2 linked regions of the Arabidopsis thaliana genome follow. The protein of the gene in region 2 purifies or fractionates together with the protein of the main gene of each other region. This does not show direct contact. Each region holds a gene or a part of one and is shown on either strand. Other genes may lie near its edges.

Region 1 (5,099 bases), on a different chromosome or scaffold from region 2:
GTTGATGCTCTCAACGAATTAGAAGATGTTTCTGAAACTTTACAAAGTCTACAGGAAATCGAGATTGACTATTGCTACAATCTTGATGAATTACCATATTGGATCTCTCAAGTTGTTTCATTGAAGAAGCTTAGTGTCACAAATTGTAACAAGCTTTGCAGAGTCATAGAAGCTATAGGTGACTTAAGGGACCTTGAAACGCTGAGACTGAGTTCTTGTGCTAGTCTCTTAGAGCTACCTGAAACGATTGACAGACTCGACAATTTGCGGTTTCTTGATGTTTCTGGTGGCTTCCAACTGAAAAACCTGCCTCTAGAAATTGGAAAGCTCAAGAAGCTTGAGAAGATTTCGATGAAAGATTGTTATCGATGCGAGTTACCGGATTCTGTGAAGAATCTAGAGAATCTGGAAGTGAAATGCGACGAAGATACTGCGTTCTTGTGGAAAATATTGAAACCAGAAATGAAGAATCTGACGATCACAGAGGAAAAAACAGAACATAACCTCAACTTGCTTCAACTGTTTTAACTGTTAATTTGCTTTTGTGTGACATTGGAATATATATATAATATACACAGATGATATTTTACATTACATATATGATATATGTGTGCATGAAGAAAACAAGAAACAAACAGAGACAATACAAAAATTGGTAGAATTTGAAACCAGAGGATCAGAACACTACTGGTCTTAGAACAGATAGAGAAGTGTTTTGGTTGTTAAAAAAGGCTTTTTATTAGAGAGCGTAAACTATCTCTCCGCTACTGTCAATGTCGATTTCAGATTCAGAGTCAAAGTCATCCATGTCATCGTCAAGATCAAGATTGTCAGTCATGAAATCGTCTAGGCAACGGTTTCGAACAGCGGGAATTGTGGCTTCAGAGATGATTTGCATGATTGTGTCAAGGCTTTGCATTGGTTGTTCAGGCTCCTGGAACTGGCTTCCTGTGTTGCTCTCGTTCATTAGATCAGCAGGGAGATTCTTCAAGAACCAACTATGGGTTTTGATCTCTGGTATGCTTATTCTCTGTAACAAACAACATCAAACATCAGTCATCTCGCCGATGGTTTAAAGATTAGAGATGAGGAAAGGGAATGACTTACGGTAGCGGGATCAGCCACGAAGATTCTTGAAATAAGATGACAGCATTCAGGTGATATCCGTATGTCATCAGGGATTGAGTATTTAACGCTAAGGATTCTCTGTGTTTCAGAATCATTAAGAGAATAAGAGGAACATCAAGAGATGAACAAAAGGAACAACGTTTTAAGCGGTTACCTGTATTGTTTTCCGATAGTCTCTTGGCTCTTCTGGATCTTCGAACGGATACGCTCCAACCAACATGACGTATAAGGTCACACCACATGACCATACATCTGCAATCTGGTAACCGTAACACTCAATGATTGGCTATTCATCCTTAGAAATACAGAGATTACAGAGGAATTCTCTAAAAGCCTTTACCTTGCCATCATATTCCTGACGAAGCAGTACCTCTGGAGCGATGTATGCAGGAGTACCAACAGTTGACTTTGGTTGTGAATGAAGAACAGAAGACTGTCAAAAAGAAATGCATAAGCAAACACTTTAAAAACACATTTGAACATGACAATGGAGGAACCACAAGTGTATAGTTTCTGATACCAAAAGAACAAAATCATTTGTGATACCTTTGAATATCCAAAATCACAAATTTTTAATCGAGGAGCAGGACTTCCATCCAACAATGTATTCTCTAGCTTCAGGTCACGATGGCAAATTTGCTTCACAGCACATGAAAAAAAGTAGAGTATTAACAACAAGTTAGAAAAAAACAAGAATACAACCAGTCCATAGGCTCCATGAAACAGATTCTCTACATACCATCGAATGACAATAACTGACTCCAGATAGAAGCTGCTGAAAGAAGAACCGAGCCTGTTTACAAGAAGAGATCAAACCATAAGGAAACCGGAGACCTGTAAACCCGATAAGAGAACCAAATACAAACCTCATCTTCACTAAACCGTCCTGCATTGCAAATCCGCTCGTAAAGTTCACCGCCAGAAGCATATTCCATTATGATAGCCAGATGAGTCGGCGTCAAAATGACCTATCCTCAAGTACAAGAAACAGAGTTTAAAAGAGTCACTGGCTTAACAAATTCCAAAAAGACAAGTACTGAAGAAAAGTGTATAAATTTTACCTCTTTAAATCTGACAATATTAGGATGCCTTAGTGACCTGTGGTTAATGATCTCCCTTTGAACATTTTCATCAATCTGCAACTCCCATAGTTACAAGTCATTCACAACTGTCCTAATCTACAAAAGCAGAACACTCAAAACCAACTAAAAAAATCATTTCAATATCCAAAATTTCACATAAATCACAAATTAAAATCATCATTCAAGTGTTAGGAAGCTCACATCTTTAAAATCACATTAAAAGCACTCAAAAGCATAATCATCAAAATCTAAAAACGCTAACTTTAAGTACGAAACCAATAAATCTGGAAAGTGAAAGCTAAACCAAACACTAAAAATGAACGATCACTGGACTAAATAAATATCATCAACTTCCAAAAATAGAAAAAGATGAGATTTTTAAAAATGAAACCTTGTCTCCTCTCTCGATGTACTTGACAGCAACAAGCTCTTTAGTGAGTTTATCTCTCATAAGACGAGCAACACCGAAATTACCAGAACCAATATCCTTAACGAAGTCATATCGATCACTGTCGTGCATAATCGGCATATCCAACGGTCCTGTGGTCACCGGAGCTCGATCCATTTCTGATCACAAAAAGAGAAATTCGAATCTAATACCCAGCAGAGAATATGTTGTTGTTGTTGTTGTTAAGTCGCTGGAATCTAGGAAGAAGAAGAAGATTCGAGAAAATAAATGGAAAAATATCTTCAAGAAGAGAACGAATAAGGAAAGAGAGGAAGAAAAAAGGCAATAATTGGTTGCCCCAAGAGATAAGGATTGTCCCAAAACGACAACGTTCAGTTGCTTTGATACGACAAGAGCCGCCGCGTTTTGATGATTGATGTTGCTTCCTAAGAAACTATAACCCAAAAATATTAAAATTAACATGAAATAAAAAAAGAAAAAGCACGACTTCACTCGTCCTTGTCTCCTAAAATACAAACCTTTTTTCTCTAAATTCTCTGTATTTATCCGTTTCGATTTTTTTCTATTTTTCTTCGTTTTTCTCATTTTGAGAATTCGTATCAAACAAATAAATATTTGTGTTAAAAATAAGTAAAAGAAGAAGATATATTCGTTATAAATAACAAGATATTCTAATTAAAAAAAATAGTTTGGAGGAAACAGAAAAACTTAGTTCATAAGGAAAACAGAAGCTTGAAAGTCACGTGCTGCAGAAGCGGCCATGTGATGAAAGAATATTCGGTTGCGTTATTCCGTTACTTGACGGCGTTAGAAATAGACACTGATGACATTGACACTGACGTGGCAACTTCTAAGCATTTTTTAATTTAGTTGATGGGCCTGCCTCTAATTTTTACATAGAAAAGTCCTTTAGGCCAGCCCAATCCCACCATGGATGACATGGACAGTGACGTGACAACTTCTAAGCATTTTTCAATTTAATTGATGGGCCTGGCTCTAATTTTGTTAAAGAAAATGCCTAAAGATATAAGCAAAAGGCCAGCCCAATTACAATATTGATGATTAATTGGATGAATAGCATTTTATCATATTTGCATGAAATATATAGTCAAATCTTAGGTCATTGATTTTGTCGGTCCATATATATATAGAGACACACTTAAATTAGAATCTACTAAGGACTGTTGTATTAAATTGGATGTTGGATTGACCTAGTTAGAAATCTTTATATGGATTTATTGCGACACGAGACATTGATAAGAGTACCGAGGAAGGTACACTAGTGTGACTAGTGTTAGAGATAGCGAGGTGTATGTATAATTTTACTCTTAAGTTAATGAAAAGGAGTGAATGGTGTTTATGGGTAAGTGCGCAATTAATGGGTCAGTGCTTAATTTAATGGCCGATGCTCATCAATTTCACCACCTTCTCTTTATTGCTATACTAAGCATCCTACTGGTGAGATTAATATACTATTATATGCACATGCACATGAACATTAAGTATCCATGTTTCTCATGAATCATTCAGATCAAATATCTAAGCCACACTCACATTGATTTAGCTACTGATTGTTATGATCATCATGGTATGGACAAATGTGTTAAAGTGAATGAAAGTCTAATAATTTAGATTGGTGTGAGTATGTTAACTTAAATGTTACATCTGTTTTTCAGCCGGTTTTGATTCATGCGAATTCGTGAGGATTAAACACATCATGTAATATTGGGAGAGTCTTGAGGGATGGTTTATAAAGATAAAACGGTGATGATATAGAAGAGAGAGCCAAAAATAAATTAGTGAGTGGTCAAAGATTGTTAATAAATGAACCAACACAATCTTAATTGCCAAGCATTCACACTTAACTACTTCTTTAGCTTCATCTAGCTACTTGATGATTATTATATGCGTTTCCTTGTTTATATGTGAAGCACACACTCTCTTTTAAAAAATGATGTAGCCTTTTTGTAATTTGTTTTTCCTTAGCCTTTTTGGTATCATTATGATAATGTTTTCATAAACTAAACTCTTTTTGTTTCTTATTTCGCATTTTAAACTTTAGGTATATATAACAGGATCGATACTTTTCCAGAAACAAAAAAAAATGTAAATGCGGATATACAAAGATAGATTATTCATACTTTTTAATTTAATATTTCCGGTTGACGTCGGATATGTGATAAACCACTAGGGCAAGTAACACTTCTCTTGACATCTAATTTACAAATAGATTTGCAACCAAAAACACTAATTTCTCCTTTTTTTTACTTGAACCAAAAGAAATGTCAAAAAAATATTAATAGGGTACAAAGAAAAAAAAAAGCAAGGTAGTATTTGTTTCGGGATGGAGTGGAGATCTTTTGTTCAAATTGATACGAGGCCTTTGGTTTATACTTTATACCAAAACTGTCTGCAGGACTCAAAATCAACCAAATAAGCTGACTTCTTTGTTAGTCGTTTGACTTTTACGTGGTGAGTGT
Region 2 (7,491 bases):
GTTAGCTAATTAACCTCTGGCTTTAAGCTCGGCAAGTCTCCTGGTTAAATCATCCTCCTCAACTTTCTCTTCAGTCTTGGTAGGAATGGCATGACCAGCAGGCTGAGGTAGTCCAACAGAAACTTCAAGACCGTAATCATCTGCTACTTGCTGCATCAAGCTGTTGACTTCTCCTTCTGGAGTCGACAATGAAGTAGAGCCAGCCATTGCATTATCCATGAACTCAGCTTGGACTTCCATGTTCACAAACTGTTTCTCAAACGAATCCATCGTCTCAGACATCTTCTGTAAGTTGCCTGTTGCAAAGAACAAACCAGAAAATGATAACACGAGTTGCTACAGCACAACGTATAAGAGTATTATAAGCCCTATCTTCTTCTCCCTCTATACTACACTTACCAAAAGGAGAGAAATGCAACAAAAATTCATCACAGATCACAGAACATCCATGACGGTGAGAGAGAGCTATTCTAATATTTCATCAAACCAAACCCTAATGCATGATTCCATATCCTTCAATCAGCAAAAACAACAACAAGGAGCAGAATTTTTCAATCTATACTATAATGCTATGAGCACCAACAAAACCAAATTGATTAGATTGCTGAAAAGTGAGAATGTGAAATACCAGTGGTAAGAGACGATTCGAGGGATTTGACAATGTTGGTCATCGATTTGGTGATGGTAGCCATCTTAGCCTGGGTATCGAGTCGAGCAACAACAGCGTCCAATCGAGAAGAGAGACGAAGGTAGTTCATCTGCTCGCTGCGTTTGCGAATGGCGTTCTCGGCATAGATCCGAGCACCATCCATGTTACCTTTCTCAATGGCTTTCTTTACCTTGAGCTTCTCCGATCTCTCCTCTTTTTCGCACTTCCTAGCTTGCCTCTGCAGAGACTTTGACGTAAATTTCAATTCAAAGATCTGGTTCATCAGCTTATCTGTATTACCCATCTCCTCGATCAGTTAATCGGGATTCGCTTGTTTGATCAATCGGAATCGGAAAAAATTAGGGTTCTTTCGAATTTGGGGAAAGATATCTCAAGCGTGTTTCTTCCGCAGAAAGAGAGGTTTTAACTTTTAAACGAGGAGGCTTCCTAACATTATGTCCTAAATCGAATTGCACTGACTGGTTCTATTATTCGGTTATATCCGGTTTAAGTTTTAATCTTTTAATCCGTCACTGAGTCTGAGTGGTTAGTAGTTATAAAAAAAAAACACTCCTTTGACTTATTCGTTTCAGTTTTGATTATTCACCATCCAAATACATTTGGTATAAACTATAGTAATACTTTTTAAATTCATTTGATTTGTACTGGTTTCAATCGTTTTTCTTTTTTTCTACCGCTTGGGTATTCTCATGAGTTAATTTTGACCCCTGAAAGAAACTTGTAATTTTTCTCAAGTAAGATATGATAATATCAGATTAGAAAAAACAAATGTGCAATGGAATTCTATTTAGGATAATTTGGCAAAAATAATTATTTAGTACTTACTAATGATAATTATACATTTTCCCCCATCACACAACACAACAGTGGAAAGCGCAGCACCTCCACAACTGACCAATGATAGGCGAAAACATATGTCACTGTCCACCGATATGTAGTGGTCAAATAAATAATGTCACCGACTGTAACGCTAAGGATACTTTGGAATCAGGACAAAAACATTATAGTATTAGACATATTAACTTATACGGATTTGTTCCTTCGTTTTGGTCTCGAAGGAAAAAAAAAAGAAAAAAGTTATAATTCCACTTTTGTCCTTTTAGAGAGAGAAAAAGGCCAAGGCGTTTTTCTTCTCTCGTTCCTCCATTTTCTACAGAGAGATATATCAAAAATTCCATTTTCTACAGAGAGAGAGAGAGAGAGAGAGAGAGAGAGAGGGACGAAATATTAATCATCGATCAAGTTGCTTCAATCGCGAAAAAATCCATGAATAAAACTATGGAATGGAATGTGAATCAAAGGATTTGGTTATGGTGATGACGCGATCTTCGATTCGATTCGGTGATTAAAAGATTTGGAAGCTCAGATCTCAAGCTCGGATTTCTAATTTTTGTTGGATTATCTAACCCAAAAGCCAAAAAAAAAAAATGAACGGTGGTGACGATGCCGCTACTAGTGGTCCTCCTCCGTCTTTAGAGTGGAGATTCTCTCAGGTCTTCGGTGAGCGAACCGCCGGAGAAGAAGTTCAGGAAGGTAATTATTGCCTACGTGTGTTATAAATTGTGAGATATATTCGGAGTTTAGCTCTTCTTTTTTCTTTTAGATCCGGAGTGTATTTGAGGACTAAGGGTTTGATTTGTTGTTTGGATCTGATTAGTGAGTTATTCCTCTACTACTTAGTGGGTCATTGATGAATCTCTGTGGCTTTTATTGCACTGTTAGTAGAGTTTCTAAGTTCTATGACAAGTTTGGATTGTTGTGTATTATGTGATATTAGAGCATCTCTATTTAGCTGATTGTTGCGAGGTTGTAACTCTCATTTTTGTACAAGTTTCAGCTGTACTGCTGTAAATTTGAATCATTTGATACGCTGATGATAGTTTTAAGTTGAGATTAAGAGGGTAATCTAGCTTCAAGGTTTTGTCTGTTCAATGCCATAAGCCATGTATACTTTTTTCCACTGGTACAATGGTGTCTCGACTCTGTTTAACAGCAAGAAAGGCATATGAAGCGATGAGGGATTGGGTTGTCGAGGGACAAGTGTGAAGGGTTATCATTGGTCATGCATTTTGGGTTCATGAATTGAATTTGTAATATTGAGTTGGTCTATAGCTGCTCTCTTCTGGCTGATAAGACTTCCCGGAGTATTGATGTAACTAGGTTGCCTTCAGAGGCACTTTCCGTATTAGATAAATTTAATCTGCTCTCATGTTATTGGATGTAATCTTCTTTACCGGTTTACATACTCTATGTTATGGAGAATAATATACTAGCTGCACCTCAAGGTTATTATGTGTTTAGCTCCTACAATTTAGTGGTGACTTCTGATGTAATGATTCTGTTTGCACACATTTCTTCCGCAGTTGACATCATTTCAGCCATCGAATTTGATAAAAGTGGAGACCATCTCGCAACTGGTGACCGTGGGGGCCGAGTAGTTCTTTTTGAAAGGACAGATACTAAAGATGTGAGTTCCTTTTTCTTCTGCAAGATTTGTTTCGAAAAAATGTTATGTGCTGTAACGCACTCTTGCAAAATGTTACTTTCAGCATGGAGGGTCCAGGAAGGATCTTGAGCAGACGGATTACCCAGTTAGGCATCCTGAGTTTCGATATAAAACAGAATTTCAGAGTCATGAACCAGAGGTACATTAAAACTTATCACCAGATTTCACTTACGAGTAATTGTGTTCCTTGAGCTACTCAATAAGCTTGCTTTTCAATCTGTTTCAGTTTGACTATCTCAAGAGTTTGGAGATAGAGGAGAAAATCAACAAAATCAGATGGTGTCAGCCAGCTAATGGTGCATTGTTTCTGCTTTCTACAAACGATAAAACCATCAAATATTGGAAGGTGTGACATCTGGATGGATTTTTATATCACATGTCTGCAAAATATAGGCCACTTATAGCAATTCCTTTCTGTGTAACTCGGTTCCATAATCTTGTTTCATATGCTTTATAGTGTAGAAATATTAGGTGTCACGTGTGAAAACTGTCTAGAAACTGGTTTCTTTTGCTTCCAAGACTCAATTCAAAATAAGAGAAATAGTTTGTTTCTTTACTCTTATAATTTGACTCCTCCTCTTATTTGGAATCAAACAGGTACAAGAGAAGAAGATCAAGAAAATTAGTGAAATGAATATTGATCCGTCAGAAAGTTCAAATATCCCTCCTCAATTAGTTACTAATGGATTACCTGCTGATAAAGGGCATGACTACCTGAGCAAGGACTTTTCTTTCCCGCCAGGAGGCATTCCATCTCTGCGTTTGCCTGTGGTAGTTGTACTCGACGCAACTTTTTTTTACTTTTTGTTTGGGTGTCAAATGAAGTGAGTTTTAATTTCAGGATTCTGAAAAGTAAATGCGTATAGATATTAAGCCTGTTTTTTACTGGAAGTTGTGGATATTTTCTTCATGTTGATGATCCAGCTACTTGAGTTATGAAATGTAGGGAATTTACTATTGGCCTTGTTTCCTTTTGTCGTAACTAAAGCTCAGTACCAAATTAGTCTAATGCACTAGTCAATTTGTGTTCTACTTGAACTTATGGGTGTTTCTGCATATATAGGTTACCAGCCAGGAGACTAACCTTGTGGCTAGATGCCGAAGAGTGTATGCCCATGCTCATGATTACCATATTAATTCAATCTCCAATAGCAGGTAATCGTTTTCCTAAGTTTTCCCTCAGGTTATATGTTTTACTCTTGATATCTCTTTAACACGTTTTTGCTGTCTTTCTCCTTAATTTTTCCATCTCAGGAAACAATGCTAATATCTAAAAAATCCTTAGAATTTTATTTTGCATGTCTTTCCATGTCTGGTCGTGCTATTATTCTCTTTGTCGAAAATCTTGTTGATCCTAAATTTCACAACTTGTATTGCATTGTTTTGTTCCTTGTGGTAATGAATCGTTCCCTTAATTGTTACAGTGACGGAGAAACCTTTATTTCGGCTGATGATCTGCGAGTAAATCTCTGGAATTTGGAAATTAGCAACCAGAGTTTCAATATTGTTGATGTTAAGCCCACAAACATGGAGGACTTAACTGGTATGCTACTTCTCCTATTTTGTTAGATGTTACTTTGTATGGTCTTACCATTGATTCATATGTCAACAACCTCCTTACTTTTATTATCTATTTTTTTCACGTTTACTGCTTGTCGAGCATGCTTCTAAATGCTACATGGTCTGTGCAGAGGTTATTACATCAGCTGAGTTTCATCCTATCCATTGTAATATGCTCGCATATAGTAGTTCAAAAGGCTCCATTCGTTTGATTGATATGCGTCAATCAGCTCTGTGTGATTCTCATACGAAATTGTAAGTTCTGTTCTCATCATCCTTTATCGGAAATGGTAGTTGCATGTTTCAATATATACTTAAGAAGGGGATATGAATACGTGGGTTCATTTCCAATTTTTCTCTTTTCTTGTCAGAAATGACTTGGAAATGAAGATTAATAGGCTAAAGTTTCTGACCACTGACCATTGTTGCTTCATATCACAGATTTGAAGAACCGGAAGCACCTGGTTCAAGATCATTTTTCACAGAGATAATTGCCTCAATTTCAGATATTAAATTCTCAAAGGATGGGAGATACATACTTAGTCGCGATTACATGACGCTCAAGGTTGGAAATCATTCGGTTCCCTTTGTGTATATTTTTCTGATTGTGGGCCAATAGAGGTCTATTCTTTAGTTCTTTCTGATATCTTTTACCCTTTTTGACGTTTCAGCTGTGGGACATAAACATGGATTCTGGTCCGGTCGCATCTTACCAGGTTCATGAACATCTGAGACCCAGGGTGAGAGCTTCTTTCTGTGGCATCTTTTATTTGTTGATTCTGTGTTGAAAGCTAACCACGTTATGTTTTACCCGGTTGCAGCTATGCGATCTATATGAAAATGACTCCATCTTTGATAAATTTGAGTGTTGTCTGAGTGGCGATGGATTGAGGGTAGCAACAGGTTCTTACAGGTTGACTTGCTTGTCTTCTGGTCATTGCTGTACTTTTCTGTCTTGTATAAGGAATAAACTAATGACCAATTTATTATACTTAATCTCCGGTGAACCAGCAATCTATTCCGCGTATTTGGAGCGTCTCAAGGAAGTACTGAAGCTGCGACTTTGGAAGCTAGCAAAAACCCGATGAGGTAAATCAGAAAACAGAGAACATTGATAGTTAACCTTATTAAGTCATTGAAGTTTGTATTGATCAATTGTTGCAAAACTTTCGCATCAATGGTATATATTAGGAGGCAAATCCAGACACCTGCAAGACCATCCAGATCTATAGGCAGTATGACACGCGTGGTTAGACGAGGTTAGTGGTCATAGTACCTGTAAAACTTATTCAAGCTTTTACTACTCTCTTCTGGAGTAAAAAACTTTTGTTTTGGACGCAGGATCAGAGAGTCCCGGAACAGAGGCAAATGGGAACGCCTACGATTTCACAACAAAGTTGCTGCATATGGCTTGGCACCCAACAGAGAACTCAATTGCTTGTGCAGCAGCAAACAGCTTGTACATGTACTATGCATGAGTTGGGAAGAGAGAGAGAAGACATAAACATGGAATCAGCTTGCTCCAATTTAACTTTCCCTTTCTTCTTTTCCCGGGTCTCTCTCTCACTCTCTTTCTCTCTTTCTTTTAACAACCAAAGTCATGATGTAACCAGAAAAGGTGTAGTAGTAACAGAGTAATGCTGTGACCAAGACCAAAGCCTGACCAGTCACCGCGACGAGTCAACGGAAGAAGCAGCAACAGTAATCTTTCAGGAGTTAGTAAGGTAAAAAGTGTTGGGTTGGGAAAGAAAACAAGAAGAGGCCTTTTGTTTACCTGAAGAAGGGTAATGTCTTAAATATCCGAACCACCCCTCCTACTTAGGTTGTCTTTTTTTTGGGTTGCTGCACTAAGGATAAATTTTATTTTATTTTTTTAGTATCGATTCTATTACCTTTTTTTTTTCAATTAAGAAACAAATTATGGTGTGTGGGATTTTTTAGTATGAGACGATTGGGAGGGATGTGCTTCAAAATTTGTTTATTGATTCTTTTGTCATATCTTCTTCTTCTTCTTGAACACCACATCCATTCTGTTTTTTTGCTATTTGTCTATTTTTCAATTGTATTTTCAGACACCTCTTTTGTGTTTTTTACTTTTACCCACAATAAAAAGTAGCTTTCTCCTCCATTCCTCGTAGATTCTATTGTAAGCAAATAAAATTATCTTTGACTACTGATTGTAATACTTTAAAGGATGCGATGAATTGAATATATGTATCCTTACCTCAAGAAGAGTGTCGAGGGCAACATTAATATTACGTAACTTAATTTGATTTCTGCTAAGAAAAATGAAATGTTTGCCAATTGAGGTAGTGGATGCAGTGAAATGTAGTTTTTTCGTGGTGCCACAAGATTTACAACTAGATATAAAATATTATGTTCCTTGTTCTATATCACAATCTAAAGACACGAGGAAGAGAAATAAAAGAAGCTTGTTTTGATGCGTCTCTTCTGATAATGTCTGATAGAAGTATATTATTTTATAGATAGAGGATTACACACACACACACACATTTGTTTTGTTGTCATGCTAAGACTTGTTTGGTTAGAATACTTTTAATTGTTATTGAAGAAATCAAATACAGATGAATATTGAAAGATGTGGCTACCAAATGAAAAGATGATGTGATCCTTAACCCCTAGAATATTCTTTCTGCTTACAATTGTGATTTGTCACTCAATATTCCTTCCAAGTTGCAACCTTATTCCTTCCTAGTGCCTTCTGATGCAATTCCCATATATTTCGATAAATTTC

What was found.
Region 1: the proteins of ATB BETA (region 2) and SNRK2.3 purify together in Arabidopsis thaliana (affinity purification with western blotting, with the first as the bait; one study listed by BioGRID). This does not show direct contact.

The regions. Positions count from the first base shown.
Region 1 is NC_003076.8:26,708,373-26,713,471, reverse strand, and holds SNRK2.3 (sucrose nonfermenting 1(SNF1)-related protein kinase 2.3), read right to left. Parts: upstream 3,171-5,099; 5' UTR 3,138-3,170; intron 3,053-3,137; 5' UTR 2,776-3,052; coding exon 2,602-2,775; exon of another isoform or gene 2,265-2,601; coding exon 2,190-2,264; intron 2,097-2,189; coding exon 1,995-2,096; intron 1,922-1,994; coding exon 1,868-1,921; intron 1,768-1,867; coding exon 1,675-1,767; intron 1,562-1,674; coding exon 1,469-1,561; intron 1,388-1,468; coding exon 1,283-1,387; intron 1,207-1,282; coding exon 1,108-1,206; intron 1,031-1,107; coding exon 740-1,030; 3' UTR 529-739; downstream 1-528. Other genes in the region: AT5G66890 (Leucine-rich repeat (LRR) family protein), read left to right, coding at 1-528. UniProt on the Arabidopsis thaliana protein: Together with SRK2D, key component and activator of the abscisic acid (ABA) signaling pathway that regulates numerous ABA responses, such as seed germination, Pro accumulation, root growth inhibition, dormancy and seedling growth, and, to a lesser extent, stomatal closure.
Region 2 is NC_003070.9:6,092,672-6,100,162, reverse strand, and holds ATB BETA (Protein phosphatase 2A, regulatory subunit PR55), read left to right. Parts: upstream 1-1,723; 5' UTR 1,724-2,097; coding exon 2,098-2,203; intron 2,204-3,033; coding exon 3,034-3,137; intron 3,138-3,219; coding exon 3,220-3,315; intron 3,316-3,402; coding exon 3,403-3,522; intron 3,523-3,773; coding exon 3,774-3,950; intron 3,951-4,239; coding exon 4,240-4,331; intron 4,332-4,600; coding exon 4,601-4,719; intron 4,720-4,867; coding exon 4,868-4,991; intron 4,992-5,177; coding exon 5,178-5,301; intron 5,302-5,407; coding exon 5,408-5,476; intron 5,477-5,557; coding exon 5,558-5,649; intron 5,650-5,747; coding exon 5,748-5,825; intron 5,826-5,927; coding exon 5,928-5,995; intron 5,996-6,077; coding exon 6,078-6,214; 3' UTR 6,215-6,955; downstream 6,956-7,491. Other genes in the region: VPS46.1 (vacuolar protein sorting 46.1), read right to left, coding at 10-296, 629-953. UniProt on the Arabidopsis thaliana protein: The B regulatory subunit may modulate substrate selectivity and catalytic activity, and may also direct the localization of the catalytic enzyme to a particular subcellular compartment.